Linked DNA regions of Macaca fascicularis. The protein of the gene in region 1 purifies or fractionates together with the protein of each later gene. This does not show direct contact. Links are inferred from orthologs where the notes say so. Each region holds a gene or a part of one and is shown in the gene's direction. Other genes may lie near its edges.

The links.
Region 2: the proteins of NSF (region 1) and STX12 purify together in Homo sapiens (co-immunoprecipitation; 4 studies listed by BioGRID and IntAct, with this or other methods). This does not show direct contact. The link is inferred for Macaca fascicularis from reciprocal best matches to the Homo sapiens genes NSF and STX12.

Annotation. Positions count from the first base shown.
Region 1 is NC_088390.1:67,180,295-67,184,710, reverse strand, and holds the start of NSF (vesicle-fusing ATPase), read left to right. Parts: upstream 1-1,427; 5' UTR 1,428-1,469; coding exon 1,470-1,481; intron 1,482-4,416.
Region 2 is NC_088375.1:207,290,207-207,294,445, reverse strand, and holds the start of STX12 (syntaxin-12), read left to right. Parts: upstream 1-1,154; 5' UTR 1,155-1,267; coding exon 1,268-1,385; intron 1,386-4,239. UniProt on the Homo sapiens protein: SNARE promoting fusion of transport vesicles with target membranes. Together with SNARE STX6, promotes movement of vesicles from endosomes to the cell membrane, and may therefore function in the endocytic recycling pathway.

The DNA of each region.
Region 1 (4,416 bases):
GGCCTCCCAAAGTGCTTGGATTACAGGCATGAGCCACCCCGCCTGGCTGGCGTTAACTTTTTCTTCTGTCCCTAGTTCATCTTCAGGTCACTGTCTGATTTTATTAGTTCTCAAATTTAAATCACTATGCATGCTCAGCTCTTCTAGTTATTTCCCTTCTTTTCTCATGCTGGGGGGAAAAAAAACCCGATTTATTCTAATTAACTGTGAGAAATGAAAGAGAACAAATCCTATCATTCCCTATTGTCTTGCGCAAATATGAAGAGAGAGATGATAGTGGGGTAAATAAAAGCAAAAGGGAATCCATTCGGCAGAATCTGTCTCCTCCCAGGCTGCTTGAAGTTAGATATTCTGAGATTCCAGTGGAGGAATGGTATGGTGAAAACATCGAGGTTCAACAAGGCTGAAATTTAGGTTATATTTTATTCAGATTCTACCATGTATAGTGTCTAAGATGAAACAACGCTGGGGAATGAAAAGGTTGTCGAAGATACAAGTTGCCTTTATTAAAGACAAATATTTAATAAAAATAATCACAATTCGCTTTCAAATCTGAAGAAAATACTGAGTTTTCCAGGCTACACATAAATAAAACTGCCAACGATGACAATTCCAGCAACTAGGAAAACAAGTACGCCTACAAAGAAAAGTGAGAAAATTCATGGAGAATTTGAACTCAGAACCAACTCCTCGGAGCTGATATTTTCTGGGGGAAGCCAGGGAATGCGCCGGGTTTTCTCAACCGCAAGGCCATGTTTAAGAGAGTCTGGAGGCCAGGCGCGGTGGCTCACGCCTGTAATCCCAGCACGTGGGGAGGCCAAGGCGGGCGGATCACGAGGTCAGGAAATCGAGACCATCCTGGCTAACACGGTGAAACCCCGTCTCCACTAAAAAATACAAAAAATTAGCCAGGCGTGGTGGCGGGCCCCTGTGGTCCCAGCTACTTGGGAGGCTGAGGCAGGAGAATGGCGTGAACCCGGGAGGCGGAGCTTGCAGTGAGCCGAGATGGCGCCACTGCACTCCAGCCTGGGCGACACAGCGAGACTCCGTCTAAAAAAAAAAAAACAAAAAACAGAGAGTCTGGAAGCACAGAGCAAAATGGACATTCGAGGGCGAACAACTGCTGGCAAAGGGATAAGTGATCCGAAGCATTAAAGCCCTTGCGACAAATTCCGGCGCGAACGGCCAGGGGACACGAGACTCGCAGGAACAGCCCTCCAGCGAGCCGCGGACGGACGCGCACGCTGGAAACAGGGTCACCTGCCACCGCCTAGCAGCTCCAGCCAAAATGGCGCCGCCGCTCTGCCCGCCCCGCGCGCGCGCCCTGTGGAGCGAGGACTCCGGGGACGCGCGCGTCCTCACCGCGGCTGCACGCCTGCGCGAGGGCGGGCGGCGGGGGCGCGCGCACGGCGGGGGCGGGCTTTGCCGAACGCAGAGCTGCAGCCGCCTAGCCGGACGTGTCGGCGAAGATGGCGGGCCGGGTGAGTGCCGGTCTGGGAGCCCAGGCTCGAGGCAGGGGCGCCGGGCTCGCGGGCACTCCGGGGTCCAGGAGGCCCCAGGGGAGTGGGAGTGAATCCGAGCAATGGGGCGCGAGGCCAGAGCGGGACTCGAGGGTAGCAGGGGAGCGGTGGCAGAGGATTAGCCCTCCTCAACAACTCCACCCCCCTCGAGGGGAGATGACCCCCTCGTTACCCGCGTCTGCTGCGCCTCAGGTCGTCCTCTCCCATTCCTTGGGGCTTGTTTCCCTTGTCCTCCACATAGCCGCAGGGTCGCGGTCGCCGAAGCCCCTTCTGACTGGCTCTGGGGGTCTTTCCGCACCCCCTTGCGAGGGCTTATTAGGGGGCGCCGGAGTAAGTGCCGGGAGCACGTCTACTGCATTCGGGGCGAGCGGTGTAGGAAGGATCATCAGGAACCCATGTCTGGCTCTTCACAAATTAAAGGTCGTTGGGAAAGAGGAGGGGGTGCCAATGACTTTTAGTGTTAGAGCCCTGCCATCTGGGGGACCTGTCAACTGTCAGGTCAGGCGGGAATTTGCTTTAGCTTGGAGTGAGGATGGATTTGGGCTGTCATGTTTTGTTTTTATGGATGACAGTCGCTTTCAATGCAGCAGGATATGCTGTAGTTTCAGGGTTTTAAATTTACTTCCTCCTTTAGGCTTTAGGGTTGCTGGGTAGGATGGATTTGGCGAGGAGAGATAGAGCTGCTTGAGTGCTGTATTGCAGTCTGCCTTGAGCTAAAAGCTCTAAAGGGATGAGTCCTGCCCAGAGATTACACTGGTTATAAACCTGAGGACATTAACTGCGTCACTGGGGGCGAAAGATGTGCTTGACTGATCTCTTTGTACCAGAATTTTTGAATAAGTTTGCATAGATTTATGCATATATGCAAAAGCCCTATCTAAAGGGACTTGTAGGTCATGAGATTCTAGAGTCAGAAGGGATCTTAAAGGTCATTTAGTTTGGCTTCTTTCTCTTCCTTTTCCCCGTGGTCTCTCCTTTTAAGGCTAGTCCTTCTACCAATACTTCAGACCCTATCTGTATATTCATCTGCTCCTTCTTAATCAAGCTTCTTTATCTTAAAACAAACCCTTCCCCCACCCCCACAGCTGTCACCTTTTCCCTTCCCACTTTACAGCAGGAAATTTGATAGAGTTGTCTATATTTATTGTCTTCCATTTGCTTACCACCTACTCACCTCTCAACCTACTGCAGTCTGATTTCTGTCCCATCATCCCACTGAAACCTGTCCCTCAACTTAATTGAACTTTTCAATCCTTATTTGATGTCTCAGCAGCTTTTGACGTTGTTGACCATGGCCTCCTCGATGGAAAGCACTCTTTACATGTGTTCTTGGATGCCTAGCTCCTGGTTTGACTCAGACCTCTCTTTTGCGGACTCACTCTCCTCTACTTTGTTATTCATTGCTGGTATTTCTGCTCAGGCAATCTCTTCTAAGCCCATAGCTACAACTGTCTATATGGCAGTGATTCTCAATATTTTACCCCCAGTCCAGACTTGCCCTTTAAGTTTCAGGTTAATACGTCCAACAGCTTATTAAAATCAAGGCCCCTGAAACTCAGCTTTTTCAATTCCGAACCTAGGATCTTAGCCCACCTAACTTGTGTAGATGCTCCTCAACTTAACGATGGAGTTACCTTCTGATAAACCCATTGTAAGCTGAAAGTATCAGAAGTTGAAAATGCATTTAATACACCCCATCTACCGAATATCATAGCTTAGCCTAGCCTACCTTCCTTACACATCCCCAGAACACTTACATTAGCCTACAGTAGGGCAAAATCATCTAACATAAACCTATATTATAAAATGTTGAATACCTCATGTCATTTATTGCTGTGCTGATAGTGAAAAACAGAATGGTTGTGTAGGTCCTCAAAGTACAGTTTCTGTTGAATGCCTCTCACCTTTGCACTATTGTAAAGTTGAAAAATGTTAAGTGAAACCATTGTAAGTCAGGGACTGTCTGTACCTATTCAGTGAGATAGGAATATCTCACTGAATGATACCGTCATCCACCCAGTTATATAGGCTGGGAATCTGGGGGAGGGAGAGGGTGGGTAACCCTTGATATCTCTCCTCTGCCCTATCCATGTCCTCTGCCCTATACAAAGGTAAAATTTGGTAAAATTTGTCAGTTCTGCTCCTGCCCCCCATAAAGGTGTTTAATTAGGGTCTAAAGACTCTGGTTTGGGAGAATGATTGCTTTAAACTAGATCCAAATCACCCACTGGACTAGCTGGATTGGTCACATGGGTTCTGTCATTTTAACCCAAAAATCTCCTGTCTGTTCACCTTTCCCCATCTTCATTTTTACCTCGTTTTCCCAGACTACCACCATTTCTGGTCTGGACTACTGCAGGAAGCTTCCAAGTAGTTTTTTTTTTTTTGTTTTGTTTTGTTTTGTTGTTTTTTTGGTTTTATTTTTGGGACGGAGTTTCGCTCTTGTCACCCAGCGTGGAGTGCAATGGCGCGATCTCGGCTCACTGCAACTTCCGTCTCCCAGGTTCAAGCCATTTTCCTACCTCAGCCTCCTGAGTAACTGGGATTACAGGTGCCCGCCATGACACCCGGCTAATTTTTGTGTTTTTAGTAGAGATGGGGTTTTACCATGTTGGCCAGACTGGTCTCAAACTCCTGACCTCAGGTGATCCACCTGCCTCGGCCTCCCAGAGTGCTGGGATTACAGGCCTGAGCCACCGTGCCCGGCCTCCCAAGTAGTCTTCTTAGAGCGTATGGCCCACCTCCGGTTCATTCTGGACACTGACATTGATTGTTCCTTCCCATGCCCATTACTACTTAAACCCCTCCTCAGCAGCATCCCATTACTTTTTAGAGAAAACCAAATCCTTAATGAGGCCTTCAAGACTCTTTGTGGTTCTGCTCCTGCTTCTTTCCA
Region 2 (4,239 bases), on another chromosome or scaffold:
AACCCTGTCTCAAAAAAAATAAAATAAAATAAAGAAAAAACCCTAAGGCCATATACAGGCTCATTCACTTGGGGTCTCCTTTCACCCAGGCAAGCAGCTTTCCGTCTTTGCATTTTCCAAAGACTGCAAAGCAGGCTGGGGTGGGGTGGAGAACACAGGAAACAGCCAGTTCCCCTTCACTTCTCACCATCTTGATCTCCTCCCAAACCAAAATCCTATGTCTTTCCTTTTAACATACGCTTACAGAAATGCAGTCTTCTGTAGGAAAATTGAGGTCATGCATTCCAAAGTATTTAAGGGTATGATTTTTAAATTTTAGGAATCTAGTTCTCCAAGAAATCCCGGCTTGGGATATAGATGAACGAGCTATTTGGGAGAGATTTCGATGAGAATGAATTTTAGAGAAGTAGCGAGGTGAGGAGAGAGTCAGCTTAGCGTTTGGCTTTTGCAGTCAAACTTCAGCAAGGCGAAGTAACCTCGCTGGTCTTAATTTTCTCATCGGTAATAGGGAAAATAATAATGCTAACATTGATGAGTTACTTTACTTCAATATTTAAAAAACCGGCTCTCCGTTATCTATTCTAATGATAAAAATGTAGATAGAGCATCGTCCCTTGCTGTGAAAAATCTTATGAACAAGTGAATTGCGGTGAGGATTCACACATAATATGTGCTTAATAAACATTATTATTTTATTGTTTAGATTAGAAGAGGGGTGGAGGGAGAAATGAAAGCGGTTTGGAAACCCCAAATACTACCAAAACCCTGGGGATGGAAGTAGAGAGGAATTTCGGGTTACGATTTGGTTCCTGGTCTGAGTTTCAACGTTGAATACTCCCATATTTGGGCCTGAATTCTCAAAACAGAATAGGATGTAAGGGCTGAGATCATCTGGTACAGTTTTATGCAAATCGAAAATTCTTGCCTCTTGTCAATGTGCCCTGGCGAGAAACAACACCTCCACCCAAGCTCATCCAATCTCAGCCCCAACTAGGTGACGTCATCTCTCCGCCCCGCAACCCCCAAGCCCCGGGCAGTCCTGTCTCTAAGATACAGTCCCAGCCCCAGTCCCAGCGGCGCCTGCGCACTTTGAACAGGGGCGGGGAGGACGCGTGCGCGCTGCGTGGGGGCGGGACTAGTGCGCACGCAGCCTTAGCTTCTTCCCCGCCCTTGGTCTTCCCAGTTTCTCCGTCAGCCTGCGGGTCCCGGCTGGCGGCTGCTTCCGGTAGGAGAGTGGTGTAGGGCGAGCAGGTCTCAGCTCCTCGTCATGTCATACGGTCCCTTAGATATGTACCGGAACCTGGGGCCCTCAGGGCCCCAGCTCCGGGACTTCAGCAGCATCATCCAGACGTGCAGCGGCAACATCCAGCGGATCAGCCAAGCCAGTGAGCCGGGGTACCGAGCTGGGGGGCGGGAGCTGTCCCCGGGACAGGCCTGGGTGAGACTGCCGGGTCGCGGAGCCCGGCTGGGACTACGGCCGAGGCCACACCTGGGGCTGTCTCGGGCTGTCCACCCTGGGGGCGGTGGGCTTGCCTCCCCCAGTCTGTCAGGCCCGGGCTGCCCGAGGGTCCCCGGCCCCAGCTGAAGCTTGAGCTGCTTCTCTGGAGTTCTGCCCCCACGGTGCTGGGACCAAAACAGCCCGAGGGTGGGAAGGGGAGTGTGTGTCATCTCGAGAGCTGTGAGTGCGTTGACTTGGCGCAGTGGTCAGCCGAGTTTCTCCTGTCATCCACCTTCCTCCCCACCCACCTCGCTTTCCTCTTAGGCCAGTTTGGATGGGGTTGTTTACTGATTTAGGCTTTAGGTTTACATTCTGCTCAGCCCCTGGCTCCTCGGAAATCAGCAACTTTCAATTAAGGGAAGTGGAGAGTGCATGTGTTTGGATGACTTCATACACAGTTCTTCCTGTAATGAATTCGGAAATCAGACACAATGACTGGTATTTGAGAGGTGGGATGACTTCTGTTTTAATAAAGATAATTCACCAGCAACATTTCAACTTACATTATTTTGTCTTTTGTAACAAAGCATTGGGGTGTATTTTTGGATTTCAGGCAGATGAGGCTTTTGTTTTCCTTCCCTACTTAGCTGCTCTTGAACAAATCTGGTACACAGGGAAGCTAAGAGACTTAGCCACAACCACAGAGCAAGTAATGCATGGTAGAGTTGTTGGTGGAATTCAGAATGGTATTGCTTGTCTTAAAACTCCCTCCTCCCCATTAGGGTCTGAGTGAAACTATAGCTGAATGAGTCAAATACAGGGTGTTTCTTGGGCTTGAAAATCATCTTGGAGCCTTATAAACAGGAGATCAGCAACAGCTTTACTTGGAAAGAATGGTGGTCATCATCCTTATTGTTTATTATTGTGTTTTGTGAGCTTGGTGTACTCTGTTAATAGGTAGAACTAGTTAGTCCTGAATTACAATTCTGTATTTTAAATAATATCACTTTGCTTTAGTTTTTAAACTTTAAAAAATTTTTCTTTTTTGTAGAGATGAAGTCTTGCTGTGTTGGCCAGGCTGGTCTCAAACCCCTGGGCACAAGCACTTCTCCCACCTCAGCCTCCCAAAGTGCTGGGATTACAGGCGTGAGCCACTGTGCCCAGCCTAATTTTTTTAATTTTAAAAAATTAAATATTTTAAATTTGTTTTTAAGAGACGGAGTCTAGCTCTGTCACCCAGGCAGAGTGCAGTGATCTGAGTGAAGTAGAACGATCCTAGCTGGCTATAACTTTGAATTCCTGATCAGCTTGCTGAGTCGCGAGGACTACAAGGATGCATCTACCATGCCAGGCTAATTTTTAAATTTTTTGTAGGGATGGGGTCTCACTATGTTGCCCAGGCTCACTTTGCTTTTAAATCTAAATGTATATTGTAGAATTTGAGAAGTTTCTGATCAAAAGCAGTTGAGACTCTGGAAGTGAAAGGAAGGGTATGTGACCTCTTAAAATCCAGAACTAAAAAAAAATAATATGACCACTGGTTAGAAAGTGTAGTACTTTTTGTACCAGTTTCCTTTTGTGAAGGAGCTGTAATACAGGTTAGATCAGAAAATTCTAGTTCAAGGCTGAAATTTTCTTGTTGAAGCTAAATCTGATTTTAATATCTATTTGCAAAATATTCATTCAACTTGTATTCAATATTATATATATCATATATAATATTATATTTAATATATAATATACACATGAAGATGGATAGATGGATACATGTTGAATGAATATTATATACATGCTGATATATATATATATATATATATAAAACCAGAATACTCCCAAATGTAGATCCGACATACATTTTTAAATTTACATTTAAATTTTTGTTTTGAGACAGGGTCTCACTCTGTCACCCAGGCTGGAGTGCAGTGGCATGATCTCAGCTCACTGCAGCCTCAACTTCCCTGGCTCAAGCAGTCCTCCTGCCTCAGCCCTACAAGTAGCTGGGACTACAGGTGTGCACCACCATGCCCGGCTAATTTTTTTTTTTTTTCTTTTGAGATGGAGTCTTGCTGTGTCGCCCAGGCTGGAGTGCAGTGGCTCAATCTCCGCTCACTGCAAGCCCCGCCTCCTGGGTTCACACCATTCTCCTGCCTCAGCCTCCTGAGTAGCTGGGACTACAGGCGCCCACCACCACGCCCGGCTAATTTTTTGTTTTTTTTTTTTTTTTTTTTTTGAGACGGAGTCTCGCTCTGTCGCCCAGGCTGGAGTGCAGTGGCCGGTTCTCAGCTCACTGCATGCTCCGCCTCCCGGGTTTATGCCATTCTCTTGCCTCAGCCTCCCAAGTAGCTGGGACTACATTCTCCTGCCTCAGCCTCCCAAGTAGCTGGGAGACGGGGTTTCACCGTGTTAGCCAAGATGGTCTCGATCTCCTGACCTCGCGATCCGCCCATCTCAGCCTCCCAAAGTGCTGGGATTACAGGCTTGAGCCACCGCGCCCGGCCAATTTTTTGTATTTTTAGTGGAGACGGGGTTTCACCGTATTAGCCAGGATGGTCTCGATCTCCTGACCTCGTGATTCACCTGCCTTGGCCTCCCAAAGTGCTGGGAATACAGGCATGAGCCACTGCGCCTGGCCCATGCCTGGCTAATTTTTATATTTTTTGTAGAGATGGAGTTTCACCATGTTGTCCAGGCTGGTCCTGAACTCCTGTTCTCAAGTGATCCACCCACCTTGGCCTCCCAATAGGCCAGGATTACACATGTGAGCCACCACGCCTAGCCTTCAACATACATTTATTTGAGTA